3 linked regions of the Arabidopsis thaliana genome follow. The protein of the gene in region 1 interacts with the protein of each later gene in a pairwise test. Each region holds a gene or a part of one and is shown in the gene's direction. Other genes may lie near its edges.

Region 1 (5,737 bases):
CCTATTGCTACTGTTTATTTGAATCTTTCTATCTGACCAATTTCATATTGGCCATAGTGCACTACAGGGCATGGACCAAAAACTCGCAGCACAAATTTGAGGATACATGGCATGAGCAGCAACCTATTGAATTGGTTCTTGGAAAAGGTATGTGGCTGTCGAATATGTACTCTACACCTCCATTTCGTTAGATGAATCGTCATTGGTAAATTTGATGAGTTAGCTTGTGTATTATATGAACCCAATGAGATGGATATTTGGGAGGAAAAAAGATTGAGTTTTGTATTTTTTTTGCTTCAATGCTGATTAGCCCATTTTAACGTCACTATACAATTTTTTTTATAAAAAAGATTGTGCACTAAGAGTGAAATGTTGTCTGTGAGACAGAGAAAAAAGAACTAGCCGGTTTAGCCATCGGTGTTGCTAGCATGAAGTCTGGTGAACGTGCGCTTGTGCATGTTGGCTGGGAATTAGCTTATGGGAAAGAAGGAAACTTTTCTTTTCCGAATGTTCCACCTATGGCAGACTTGTTATATGAGGTGGAAGTTATTGGGTTTGATGAAACAAAGGAGGTAAGTTATTTCCTATACCATCATCTTGTTTCCTTACCAAGACGACTCCACATCCAAGCTTTATCCCAACCTCCTTGCTTACCTCTCTGACTTAGATGATGTATTGAACAGGGAAAAGCTCGCAGTGATATGACTGTAGAGGAAAGGATTGGTGCAGCAGACAGAAGAAAAATGGATGGGAATTCTCTTTTTAAGGAGGAGAAACTGGAGGAAGCCATGCAACAGTATGAAATGGTTATGCATCTCTCTCTATCTCTATCTCTCTTTCCAACAATTACGGTCAAAGTTTAGGTTTTCAGGCATACTTAGTGAGTCTGCTCGAGGCTCTTGTGTCTTCTTTCGGCTTTTGATTAGTCATGGTTTTGCTGTTTCAGGCCATAGCATACATGGGGGACGATTTTATGTTTCAGCTGTATGGGAAGTACCAGGATATGGCTTTAGCAGTTAAAAACCCATGCCATCTTAACATAGCAGCTTGCCTCATCAAACTAAAACGATACGATGAAGCAATTGGTCACTGCAACATTGTAAGACTCATCAAACCATTCATTTGAAGAAAATCATTAAAGTTCATACTCGGTTTCTCGAAATCTAATCAAACTCAAAACCTTATCAGGTGTTGACAGAAGAAGAGAAAAACCCAAAAGCACTGTTCAGAAGAGGGAAAGCAAAGGCAGAGCTAGGACAGATGGACTCAGCACGTGATGATTTCCGAAAGGCACAAAAGTATGCTCCTGACGACAAGGCGATTAGAAGAGAGCTACGAGCACTTGCAGAGCAAGAGAAAGCCTTGTACCAAAAGCAGAAAGAAATGTACAAAGGAATATTCAAAGGGAAAGATGAAGGTGGTGCTAAGTCAAAGAGCCTTTTTTGGTTGATAGTGTTATGGCAATGGTTTGTTTCCCTTTTCTCCCGTATCTTTCGACGCCACAGAGTTAAAGCAGATTAATGTATGAAGAAGGGTAACAATTCAACTCTAAAAGACCAACGTGAAAGATCTACCCCCATTTCTTATTAGTGAGAATTTTGAAAAATATTTTATATAAGAAAAAAAAATAGTCTCTATTGTTTTCGATTATAAAGTAACTTTATATTTTGATCCAAAAAAATAAATTTTTAACAAAAAACATACAAAATTCGAACGTAAAATCTACTTCCTTCAACAGAAATGGCGGTCTTCATAGTTTTTGTCTTTGACCAAAGACTTTCAAATTCCAGCTGCTAGTTGCATTAAATGATCTTAGTATTATTAATTAATTAAGAAACTTCTCAACAATTAACAAACACTAATCAGTAATCATCATTCTCTTTAGTTGAAAAAAATAGTCAACGTTTGATTAAGTCAACCTTTTTCGTCTTTGAATCCATCTTCTTCCCCACAGAGCAACGACGAAACAAAAAAAACAGAGACCCTTCCTCTGGGGAATCTAAGGAAGCTTCAAAATGAAGCTAAAGATTTCTCTAATCGCTCCGATTCTTCTTCTCTTCTCATTCTTCTTCGCCGTGGAATCTAAGTGCAGGACTAGCTGTCCTTTAGCTCTAGCTTCGTACTATCTCGAGAACGGAACAACACTCTCCGTCATCAACCAAAACCTCAATTCTTCAATCGCGCCTTACGATCAAATCAATTTCGATCCAATCCTCAGGTACAACAGTAACATTAAAGACAAAGATAGAATCCAGATGGGCTCTAGGGTTCTTGTACCTTTCCCTTGCGAATGTCAACCTGGTGATTTCCTAGGGCACAATTTCAGCTACAGTGTTCGACAGGAAGATACTTACGAAAGAGTCGCGATTAGTAATTACGCGAATCTCACGACGATGGAGTCGTTACAGGCGAGGAATCCTTTTCCGGCGACTAACATACCTCTCTCTGCGACGCTTAATGTATTGGTGAATTGTTCTTGTGGTGATGAGAGTGTTTCGAAAGATTTTGGTTTGTTTGTTACGTATCCGCTTCGTCCTGAAGACAGTCTCAGTTCTATTGCGAGATCTTCCGGTGTATCGGCGGATATTCTGCAGAGATATAATCCCGGTGTTAATTTTAACTCCGGGAATGGAATCGTTTATGTGCCTGGAAGAGGTACAAAGATTGATCTTTGATGATTTGTGACACAAATTGTTATAAATGTAGTAATGATTGTTGAAGTTTATGTACATGTTCCTGTGTTTTTTGCAGATCCAAATGGTGCATTTCCACCATTCAAATCAAGGTTGTTTTTGTTGTTGTTAAGATTGTATCTTTGTTCATTTTGATATCTATTTACTGATGTATTTCTACTTCTCTTATGTTTTTTGTAGTAAACAAGGTTGGTTCTTTTCTCCATTTTTGAGCTTTTGATGATTATGCACGAAGCAAGAGGAGACATGGAAGAGTATGTTTTTGATATTTTTTTGTATTAGCAGATGGTGTTGGTGCTGGAGTTATTGCTGGTATAGTTATAGGAGTGATTGTGGCTTTGTTGTTGATCTTGTTTATCGTATATTATGCTTACCGGAAGAATAAGTCGAAGGGTGATTCGTTTTCTTCTTCTATTCCGTTGTCTACTAAGGCTGATCATGGTAATTTCGTGATGATCATATACAAGCAGTTTTTGTCTCTTTTGTTAGCTGGGAGTTGCTTATTATGTTTATATGAAATCTGCTTTTAGCTTCTTCTACTAGTCTCCAAAGTGGAGGTTTGGGTGGTGCCGGAGTGTCTCCTGGCATTGCTGCCATAAGCGTGGACAAATCTGTTGAGTTTTCGTTGGAGGAACTAGCAAAGGCTACTGATAATTTCAATTTGTCTTTTAAGATTGGGCAAGGTGGTTTTGGGGCTGTTTACTATGCAGAGCTGAGAGGAGAAGTAAGCAGATATCTTTTTATATCTTTTTGTTTGAAGCTACTACACATGGAACATTTAAATTATTCGGTTCTTGTATAGAAAGCTGCGATTAAGAAGATGGACATGGAGGCATCGAAACAGTTCTTGGCGGAACTAAAAGTCTTAACGCGTGTACATCATGTCAACCTGGTAAACCCCTTTTGTGTTCTCTCAAGATAATATCTGAGATCAGATGAAGATCAAGTCTTAGCCAAATTTTAACGAATTTGTTTTTTCTTGCAGGTTCGCCTGATTGGATATTGTGTTGAGGGATCACTTTTCTTGGTGTATGAATATGTTGAGAATGGTAACCTTGGACAACATTTACATGGGTCAGGTACGCAATATAAAGACCTCCAAAAGTGAATCATTTTTCGAGAAAGTTGTAAACTAAAAGAGTTTATGTGAAACTAGGACGAGAACCATTACCGTGGACTAAGAGAGTGCAGATTGCACTAGACTCAGCTAGAGGTTTAGAATATATCCACGAGCACACGGTTCCAGTTTATGTCCATAGGGACATTAAATCTGCCAATATTTTGATAGACCAGAAATTCCGAGCAAAGGTACATTCTCGATTTCTCTTTTGTCAATCAAAAGTGAAAAATACTGAAAAGGTTAGATTTTTCCTTTGTCACCGCTCTGAGTCGTTTACGTGTTACAGGTAGCAGATTTCGGGTTAACAAAACTGACAGAAGTTGGAGGTTCAGCAACTCGGGGTGCAATGGGTACATTTGGTTACATGGCACCAGAGTAAAGAATTTGATCTCGTTTACACTTATATACTACTTTAGAGACTACACTATAGTGATGGTGTATATATGTATGTATGCAGGACTGTTTATGGAGAAGTGTCTGCAAAAGTAGATGTATATGCATTTGGAGTTGTCCTTTACGAATTGATTTCTGCGAAAGGTGCGGTTGTCAAAATGACAGAAGCCGTTGGTGAATTTAGAGGCCTTGTTGGTGTGGTTAGTATTATTGTTTCTTCGTAACATTTAGTCTTTCTGATTTAAAGGCATGTATGTGGATCACTTAACAATATGCTTTGTTTATTTATTATTCAGTTCGAAGAATCATTCAAGGAAACCGACAAAGAAGAAGCACTACGCAAGATTATAGACCCGAGGCTCGGTGATAGTTACCCGTTTGATTCGGTATACAAGGTAATATCTCTTCTTGTTCCCTATTCTATTCATCATTGATCATTCTAAAAGAGGGTGTCCAATCCGTTTTTTGGTCCGAAAAACCGATTAAAAGTGCGATTTTTAAAAACCGGTATTCACTGAACAATGTGCTATTCGATTAGCTTAAAGTGTCGAAAAATCAAACCGAATACCGGATTGCACATAGCTAATTTTAATAACGGGGTAAGCCAATTTGGTGTTTTATGTGTTGTGGTATAGATGGCGGAATTAGGGAAAGCATGTACACAAGAGAATGCGCAGCTACGTCCGAGTATGAGATACATTGTGGTTGCTTTATCCACTCTCTTTTCGTCTACCGGAAATTGGGATGTTGGAAACTTCCAAAACGAAGATTTAGTCAGTCTTATGTCCGGCCGGTAGACTCGTTTTCCGGTTTGCTGTTGTTATATAGAAATGATTGTTTTTTGGTATGCTCACGTATATTTTGTCTGTCTATACGAACTTTACATGTCACAACTCACAAGTTGACTTTTATATGATTTTCTATAACGCTCTATATGTCAATTATTCAACGTCTCCGATATCAGCATCTCACGTCAAAGATAATAATGAAATGCATTAAAATTCTCATAAATAAATTTTTTGAAATCGAGTTTGCCGACAAAAAAATCAAAACATAAAAATATAACTTTTTGTGATGGATACTCTCACGAAGCTTAGAACAAGTCTTCCATAACACCAAAGAAATTCGAATGATTTTGTCACATGGATTCCCCAATACATAAAATCTATATTCCAGCTTAGAACACTAAGTATGTTTCTTATTTCACCTAGCTAGATTTTCTTTATTAGAAATAGAGTAATCGAATATTCTTTTACCATAAACCAATATATTTCATTTTTTGTTTTTTTCTTCTGTCAACAACATACAGATACGGCTACATATATCTATGATTTTTTTTCGTTTGTCCATTATTTGTAACGGAATAATTATTTAAAACACACAAAAAGTTACCTTAAACTGACTAATATTAAATCAAAACTTTTTCATTCCAAAAGTCAGATCTCAAACCTTTTTTTTTAACATAATGTGTCCTCTAAACTTTCAAATCAGGGAATAAATAAATACATTAGAAAACGTTAAACCAATATAA
Region 2 (4,018 bases), on another chromosome or scaffold:
TGATAAATCTTTCACAAAATCAGTAATCGCATCCACACAATCCTCGGACAAATTATAATCCGTTTTGATACCCATCAACTTAGTTGCAGCAGATAAAGGCGAATGACCCTTTTTACATCCTTTATATAAGGGATATTTTGCTGCATCTAACATATCAAAAAACTTCCGTGCTTCTAAATTAGGTTCCTCTACTCTATCACTATCCCCATCAAACGAGTGTACATTTTCACGAAAAGCATCATTTACCATCTGAACGGTACCTACATTTGCATCTACTTCCGGATTTGGTTCCACTAACCTATCAACAGGATAATATTCGCTACAACTACCATAATTCACCATTGACTCATTCTCTCCATGCATGAACCAAACTTTGTACCCCGACATAAACCCTTCCCCATATAAGTGCATCCAAACTTGAGATACATGAAGAACTCCAAAATTCCGACATGTACAACACATTTTTTTTGATTCGATGGTTACCGGTTGATTTGTCGCGAATGCCATGAATTGTTTAAGACCTTCTGCATATTCCGGCATTAGTAACTCCGTTAGCGGATCACGCATGGGCTGGTCCATCCATGATCGAAAATAATTAAACGGATTTGAAGAAGCCATTTCTCTCTGGTTATATTTTGTTGCTGCTTGGACGATTTTGTGAATGATGGTAGAAAAATATAAAGATGAGAATTATCAATGTTTTCGACGGGTTTTCGACGGACGTCCGACGGGTTTTGGCGACGAATTTCCGACGGAAATTTTGAATATTTATTTTTTAAAATAAAAAAATGCACGGCTATGTGACCGTGCGGCGAATTGACCGAGTAGCTACTTGACCGAGTGTATTTCGTTGGAATTCCGTCGGAAAAGTGCAGAATATTCTGATGAATATTCTAGGGATCAAAACGGATATATTTTGGTCGGAAATCCGTCGAAACATTTGGTCGGATTTAATTTGGTCGGATTTAATTTGGTCGGAGTTTCGTTGGAAATGACTGATGAATTGTCGATCATTTAGAATTCGTCAGAAAAGTTCGACGACATTTTGACGGAAAACATGTCGTCAGAAAACCGTCGGAATACCATTACGAAACCGTCGAAAATTTTCGACCGTTTATTTATCGTCGAAAAGTCTGTCGAAAAGGGTTTTGTTCTCTTGTAGTGTACCACAACTTGGTTTGCAACACTATATATACTTTTTGATATATAAAAATTCTATTAAACTACTTAAATATTTCGTCATGAGGTTATATGCATTAGAAAAAAATATATAACAATATTGTTGGAAGACTGGACAATTATCGTTGAAACTATAGCTATCACCAAGATACAACTTTTTGTGGAAAATCTTGGTGGCAATTAGAAACTGTTCCCAATCTCGGGCATGAAAATCGTTATTCAAATATTTGTCAACAACTAGTGAATAGTGATACAGCTATATATGTTTGCTAATTTATTGAATTATTTAATGTTACGACTTTACGTAACAATTATTTAACGTCTATTCTTGTGTACCTCACATTTCTTATCGTCATGTCTCATCTCTTATATTATTCACAGTACACCCATCTCTTCTCGCTCACTGTGGAACCTGTTGTCAATTACTCGTTTTGCATTTTATTGGTTTTCCCAATTACTCTATCAATTATTTATCAAAAAAAAAAAAATGAAACATTTACTCTATATATTATTTCCGCAAACACAAATTATACTCACATCAACATATTCAATACATTTTTCTAGTAATGTAGAACAACTTTACAGTATTCTCCAAAACGAAACTCTAATTCAAAATTTACAAGCAGATAAGCCAAAGATAATAGAACAACAAAACGCCAAATTCTAGTTAAGCACACAATCTCAACGTGCACTAAAAACGAGTGGTGTAAGTGAAAAATATCGTCGATTATAAACATTATGGGACCAGTAGCATTTGTTGCACCAATCGAAAACAGACAAGCACACATATCTCCTCATTTCTCATCTGGCTTCTTAATCATTTCTCATAACCCCACCTCATTATAAATACCACCCTTTGCGTCACACATATAAACATCACAAACTAAACAATAAACCATACCATAAAAAACATGAAAATCCTCTCACTTTCACTTCTCTTGCTCTTGGCCGCTACGGTCTCGGCATCCGTTCCAGGGCTCATCGAACTCGTCGATTCGAAAACCATCTTTGGGAACGTAGCCGAACTCTTAGAGAAAGAGAAACTTTCCATCAACTACGCCAACTGCAGAAGCTGGCACCTTGGTGTTGAGACCTCTAACATCATAGACTTCGACACGGTGCCCGCAAATTGCAAAGACTATGTTGAAGACTACTTGATCACTTCCAAACAGTACCAATACGACTCCAAAACCGTGTGCAAAGAGGCTTATTTCTATGCCAAAGGACTTGCCCTAAAGAACGACACCGTCAATGTTTGGATCTTTGACCTAGATGATACCCTCCTCTCTAGTATTCCCTACTACGCAAAATATGGATACGGGTATATATACGCATAATTATCATTATTAGTTCTACCCACACCACCTCCATTGCATTAACAATATTATCTTCATATTTTTTTTTTAATGGTTTAGATATCACTATATGCACGTTTCGGTTTTATTTTATATATATTATTTGCAACTCTAAATAGTTTCAGTACTGACCTAAATGTTTTTTTTCATATATATCTTACTTTGTGATTTCATTTTGAACTACTTTTTTTTTTTTTGGATTCTTAGAACAGAGAAGACCGACCCGGGGGCGTACTGGTTGTGGTTAGGGACCGGAGCATCAACCCCTGGACTCCCGGAGGCCTTGCATCTTTACCAAAACATCATAGAGCTCGGGATTGAACCCATCATACTCAGTGACCGTTGGAAGTTGTGGAAGAATGTCACTCTCGACAATCTCGAAGCTGCTGGCGTGACCTACTGGAAGCATCTCATATTGAAGTAAGAATATTCAAGTAGTTAGTTATATAGTAATTAAATAAATTATAAGTATCATATATGTGATTGAATCAAGGACTAAATATGGAAATGTAGGCCTAATGGTTCGAACTTGAGGCAAGTGGTGTACAAGTCAAAGGTGAGGAAGAGTCTCGTGAAGAAAGGATACAACATCGTTGGCAATATCGGAGATCAATGGGCTGATTTGGTTGAGGATACCCCTGGGAGGGTTTTTAAGCTCCCAAATCCACTCTACTACGTACCTTCTTAAGAATCTATCTTCATCGCATTGTCCCCTTGTATACACTTCATATCTATGTCGTTTCGTTTATCTTTGTAGCCGTTTTGGCACCGCTGCATAAATAAAATGTCTATCCTATCGTAACTTAATAAGTACAAAGACTTCGTACTAAATGTTGTTTTTCTTTAAAGGGGTCATTAATTAAGTGGCCATGAAATGATATTCACCATGTAAATCTAATACAATGAAAAGTATAAATTTGAACTGGAAACTAACTTAGCTAAATAAATTTATAAAATTAAAAATAAAATTTAATTGGGAAATTTGGAATAAAAATATTTCTATAATTTATATTATGAAAAGTAAAATATTAACCATGTCGCAATTTAGTAAATCGAAGGTTGGTATGTGTTGTGACACAATCTCGTAAATTAAAGGTTGGTATGTGTCACCATTTTGTGAGTCACGTTTAATTGTTTACTACTTGGTTATCAGCACACGAGAAGTATATAATCCGATAGAAAACGTAAACATGGTATATAAAATAATGTGAGTCAGATAATTAAAATGAAATAATTTTATAATAAGAAATAAAGATGTAATCAAGAAAATAGATGTAAATTATTGCCAAATTAACAGTGAATATCTTTTTCTGACTGTGGTTTTTGTTTAATTTTATGAATACATAATGTTTTCTCCATAACATGTTATTTTTCCGTAACATCTTGTTTTTCTGTAAATGTTTAATTTTATTAGATGACATCATACCAAAAATAAATTTGAAACCCGAGATATTAAACTTAATTTTTATTTCTTAAAGGCCACA
Region 3 (4,946 bases), 2.9 Mb from region 1:
CTTTGCTCTTACTGTCTTTGGAACAAAACATGGTGTTTTAAGAGGAAGATAAAGTTTAGTTGAATATGCCATAGCTTTTGTGTTTCTTTCTTTCTTCAAGAAGAAACTTTGATCTCTTCTTTTTGGACAACTCGTTTGGTTTATAGTTCTCAGAGAAGAAAATTATAAATTCCGATGATTGATTGAATCTGAGTTTAATTAAGATTTTTTTTTAAGTCAATTATATATAGACGCAAGGTGAAGATAAAATAATAGCCAATAAGAGTGGCAATCTCATTAACAAGTTTGGTTGTCTTTTTCGTGGGGTTTGGTTAGTTCTTCTAATGGTTTCGTTTTTCTTCTTACGTTTGATTTTTGATGAACGTCAATGTGAAATCGTTGAATATATCTACACATATACATGTGTATGTCTAGTCAGGTGTATTTTTATTACATAAATTTTTATAAAACTATTATTGGGATTTCTTACTCCGTTAATGTTTAAAAAATATTACTAAGAAAACTACTTAGATTCTGTAACACTTATATTTGAGAAACAAAATGAGTTTTATAACCCGATTCTTTGACAAAATAATATGAGACAAAAACAAATAATTCCCCAACTGAAATAGTTTATAGACTTAAGACATTTTACCTTCCTTCTGACCTAAAAAGGTAAAAAAGACATTTGACCTTCCATCGAAACAATTAATCTGTCATTACATTAATTTCAAAAACTTGCGTGCTATTAGTTGCACTTGCATTCAACCAATTTTTTCGTTATGTTGAGATAATATTAATATTAGAGTAAAAGAAAAACTAAACATCGAGCAAATTAGTTGTTACAGTGCTTATCTGCCGTCCAATGACGAATTAACTCCTACTTAATTAAACCGTGGCACGTGTCGATATATCAAGCGTCATGATAAGCTTTTAGGAGCATTTTTAATTGCAAAATGACAATAATTGGTGTTATATTATTGCTATGATTTAGACAAGAGACTAATTGTAGGCTAAACATGGAGACATCGTCGTACAGTTTCTCGGGAAAAAAGCTGTCTCTTCTTAACCACAATAAGGTACGTTCGAGTCAGAGGCTCCGAGCAATGATATTTATTTCGCTGGTTTGATTACTAAAGAAATGCAAAACAATACTATAATAACAACGAATATTCCTCCACCAAATTAATTAAACTCTTGCGAATCTTTATTTTGTTTTGTTAAAAGAATAATACAACAGATTTATACAAGTTTCTGAGTCATCAGCAACTTTGGAATCCTTATAATAGTTTATGAACATTTTTAACCAAAAATACATATAAATGGTGGAACCATAGATTAGAAGGGTTGGTCACAAAATGTTGGAGCAAAACTTCCAAAATCGCTTTTAACAATTTTTAAAAAGACTTCCAAAATCCATTTTTTTCTGTCGGTTAAACCAAATTTAAATTATAATTTCGATAGAGAATGTTTAGATCGATCACCCGAGTCGATAGTATATAAATTGTAGTACATTGAATGAAAAACTATAATCAAATATTTTGTGGTCTCTGTTTCAGGAGGTTGGGAGGTTAAATACGTCACCAAAGTTTTTATTAATTTTCTAGATCGTCGTCCACTTATATCATCGCGGAGTGGTGGCCTAACTTATCAATATCGTACGATCTCCAAATTTAATATAAGCAAGTTTGATTATAAAATTTGATACAGAAATTATTTAACATTATCTTCATCATCACTTATTTTATAATTAACAAATACTAGAAACATACGTCTACGAGTTAAAGTAATGGGTTTAGGCTAAAAGATTTGGTCAAGAAGTATACAGTAGCCTAATTGAAGGTCCGTTTAATGGCGTATGCTTCTCATATTAGACTTAAGTTAAGGCCCGTTTGATAAGATATTTAGGCCCATTAACAGCCCAAGTGTTAATCAAAGTCTAACTTGTTACTCAAGAGTGCTTGTCTACGGGAGCTAAAAAGGAACTGGGAAGAGTTTGTTTCTTCGATTCGTAGATCAATTCTCAGCTGGTAAAGTTTTTTTGCATCCATACAAGTTCTTAGTTACTTGAATCGTTTCCTATTTTTTTCATTCGATCTGTAATGTTTTTAGGGTTTAATAACTTTTGTGCAGACATTGAGGTTTATCTCAGATCGAAATCGAGAAGAAGATGTTTCTCACTAGGTACAAAATTGAGCATTTCTTCCTTCGATTTCTTCAGAATCGTGTATCACCGTTTCTGGGAAAACTTCGAATCCAACGATTATGGTGCTTGTATTGATCAAGTTTTTTTTTTTTTTTTTTTTTGTTCTTAAGGACTGAGTATGACAGAGGAGTCAATACATTTTCTCCTGAAGGTCGTCTCTTTCAGGTTGAGTATGCCATTGAAGCTATCAAGGTAATTTATAGATTACTCTAGCTGCTAATAGCTTCTCTAGAATCTAGTAAAGTTGGGATGTTTCTTTGTTTGCTTAAACGAATTTGGTTACTTAATCCATTATTGTGTTAGTGTGCTTTGTTGGGGAGTAGACAATAGATTGGGCATGCCCTTTTTGTATCCATTGATGGGTTTGTTATGGTTTGATTGCAGCTTGGTTCTACTGCTATTGGTGTAAAGACGAAAGAGGGAGTTGTTCTTGCAGTCGAGAAGCGTATTACTTCGCCTTTACTGGTATAGTTTCTCTCCTTGTATCTTCTCCGTGTGACTCCACTGTTTTATTAACATTTGTTATGTTTAGCAGTTTCCATCTGGTTGATTTGTTAGTATCTAAGAAGTTTTCTTTGCTTTACTATTTCCGTGCCTTTATGATTTTGGTACACGCACATTATGCTACAAATTTAGTCTTGAATTGGCATGAGTGATAGAATCTGAAAGGTAATATTAGTATGAATTTGTAATACCTTTTTGAGTTTACCCTATGATGGTAACTACTTTCTCAGTCTCTTTTTTATCTTTTAAGTAGGAGCCGAGTAGTGTTGAGAAGATTATGGAAATTGATGACCATATAGGTTGTGCTATGAGTGGTCTGATTGCTGACGCGCGAACACTTGTTGAGCATGCACGAGTAGAGACCCAGGTGAGATCTCAGTTTCTGACTTTCTGTTTCTCATGGATTTGTTTTTACATCAAAAGTTCTTTCTGTTACCAACTGGTTTTATTATGTTGAGCAGAACCACAGGTTCTCGTATGGTGAGCCAATGACTGTAGAATCTACAACACAAGCTTTGTGTGATCTTGCTTTACGGTTTGGTGAAGGAGAGGAAGAGTCAATGGTAGTAATCGCTCTATTACCTTTATAGCATAGGAAGAGTCAATGGTAGTAATCGCTCTATTACCTTTATAGCATAGGCAATGTTTAGTGGATTTCTCTTCTTTCTGCTTGGAAATTATGATCAATTATCAGAGATAAACCCTTAGATTGGGGTTTTAAATTTTTGTTGTGAATTAATAGATATAACTCTTTAGGAACCACCACTATAACAATCCCTAATCTTCCATAATGTTTTAGCAAATATTCTTTGGTTCTTTACTGTCTCCTTTTTATATGAATGTACTTATGCTCGGTCTCACAAACTTTTTGCAGTCTCGTCCATTTGGAGTATCCCTTCTCATTGCTGGGCATGATGAAAATGGACCGAGCCTGTAAGTTGTTATTCATTTCGCTTATATCATTTTCCAACTGTGTAGATGATCTCAAATTGGTAAACAACAAATGTTAAACAACTCAATCCTGTATAGGTACTACACAGATCCATCGGGAACATTCTGGCAATGCAATGCAAAGGCAATTGGGTCTGGCTCAGAAGGAGCTGATAGTTCTCTCCAAGAGCAATTCAACAAGGTACTAATAACGTGATTGTTTCACTGTCCCAAGCGCATTACAGAATCTATTTCTTTTGAAGTTTCCTTGAACTCCAATTTCACAACTCTTACAGGATATAACTCTTCAAGAAGCTGAAACAATAGCTGTATCTATCCTAAAGCAAGTAATGGAAGAAAAGGTATTCAATTGATTACAAGTTTGTTTATTAAAAATCCCATTAAATCCCTCTCCGGTTTAGCCCTTTTTGATACTCTCTACTTTTCTGGTTTAGGTGACTCCAAACAATGTCGACATTGCCAAAGTCGCACCAGCTTATCACCTCTACACTCCTCAGGAGGTTGAAGCCGTCATCAGTCGTCTATGAAGAAATAAACCGCCATTCTCTTCCTGTTATCTTACCTTGTCTGTTCGGTAATTTATCAGGCTTCTGTCTGCTTCCGGTTCTCTAAACCAAAAATTAGTTTCGTTTAATCAGATAATGGATTTTATCGAGTTGAGTTTTATTGAGCTTTCTATCTACATTTTTTTGTCGTTTTCAACAAGAAGTTAAAACTAATAAATATCTGTCCAAAAGAAAAAATCAGAACTTGAAAGTTGAAATCTATTATGTACATATCATCATTGTACGTCGGAAAAAAAATCTCAATTATAAGATAATTATATATTTATTATCTATATAACCACCCTCACTGAATTTAACCCAAACCCCATTAAGAGAAGCGCTGATCGTGAAAACCTATCTTTAGCTAAATCTTTAAAAAAATAAAATATATTTCTTTGAGGTTACAAAAGAATATATTGTATTTTTTAAACATATCTTTAGCTAAATCTATAGAAAAAATAATAATAATTGAAAACTTAAGAAAACAAATAATAAGTGATTAAGTTTACAGAGGGGGCATTCCCATAACCGCCTTTGGAATCCAATTATCATCCCCTCGGAGAAAATACTTAACCGTAAACCTTGCAGCCTCATCATCAGACGAAATGGGCTTATACCCAGCCCATTTAACTCTCTTGGATAGATCCGACCCAGGACCTGAATTCTTGTACTCTCTATAGAATATAGTACGTGGAGGCGGGTCATAAGTCGAATTCCACGCAATCCACCCAGCGGGATTCACGAACGACCCAATCACCGAT

What was found. Proteins that work in one complex are often made in the same cells at the same time.
Region 2: the proteins of CERK1 (region 1) and VSP2 interact in a two-hybrid assay, tested with the Arabidopsis thaliana proteins (one study listed by BioGRID).
Region 3: the proteins of CERK1 (region 1) and PAE2 interact in a two-hybrid assay, tested with the Arabidopsis thaliana proteins (one study listed by BioGRID).

What each region holds. Positions count from the first base shown.
Region 1 is NC_003074.8:7,614,809-7,620,545, reverse strand, and holds CERK1 (chitin elicitor receptor kinase 1), read left to right. Parts: upstream 1-1,874; 5' UTR 1,875-2,015; coding exon 2,016-2,655; intron 2,656-2,751; coding exon 2,752-2,785; intron 2,786-2,873; coding exon 2,874-2,881; intron 2,882-2,978; coding exon 2,979-3,134; intron 3,135-3,223; coding exon 3,224-3,417; intron 3,418-3,495; coding exon 3,496-3,585; intron 3,586-3,678; coding exon 3,679-3,772; intron 3,773-3,849; coding exon 3,850-4,001; intron 4,002-4,099; coding exon 4,100-4,188; intron 4,189-4,270; coding exon 4,271-4,406; intron 4,407-4,502; coding exon 4,503-4,601; intron 4,602-4,841; coding exon 4,842-5,003; 3' UTR 5,004-5,189; downstream 5,190-5,737. Other genes in the region: TWD1 (FKBP-type peptidyl-prolyl cis-trans isomerase family protein), read left to right, coding at 58-147, 388-572, 684-806, 947-1,099, 1,189-1,521.
Region 2 is NC_003076.8:8,499,917-8,503,934, reverse strand, and holds VSP2 (vegetative storage protein 2), read left to right. Parts: upstream 1-1,710; 5' UTR 1,711-2,090; coding exon 2,091-2,500; intron 2,501-2,741; coding exon 2,742-2,954; coding exon of another isoform or gene 2,955-2,958; exon of another isoform or gene 2,959-3,047; coding exon 3,048-3,222; 3' UTR 3,223-3,467; downstream 3,468-4,018. UniProt on the Arabidopsis thaliana protein: May function as somatic storage protein during early seedling development.
Region 3 is NC_003074.8:4,762,215-4,767,160, forward strand, and holds PAE2 (20S proteasome alpha subunit E2), read left to right. Parts: upstream 1-1,809; 5' UTR 1,810-2,009; intron 2,010-2,112; 5' UTR 2,113-2,149; coding exon 2,150-2,163; intron 2,164-2,295; coding exon 2,296-2,377; intron 2,378-2,569; coding exon 2,570-2,650; intron 2,651-2,942; coding exon 2,943-3,056; intron 3,057-3,150; coding exon 3,151-3,252; intron 3,253-3,563; coding exon 3,564-3,622; intron 3,623-3,718; coding exon 3,719-3,821; intron 3,822-3,915; coding exon 3,916-3,981; intron 3,982-4,074; coding exon 4,075-4,167; 3' UTR 4,168-4,395; downstream 4,396-4,946. Other genes in the region: AT3G14280 (LL-diaminopimelate aminotransferase), read right to left, coding at 1-72; ATPMEPCRC (pectinesterase family protein), read right to left, coding at 4,691-4,946. UniProt on the Arabidopsis thaliana protein: The proteasome is a multicatalytic proteinase complex which is characterized by its ability to cleave peptides with Arg, Phe, Tyr, Leu, and Glu adjacent to the leaving group at neutral or slightly basic pH.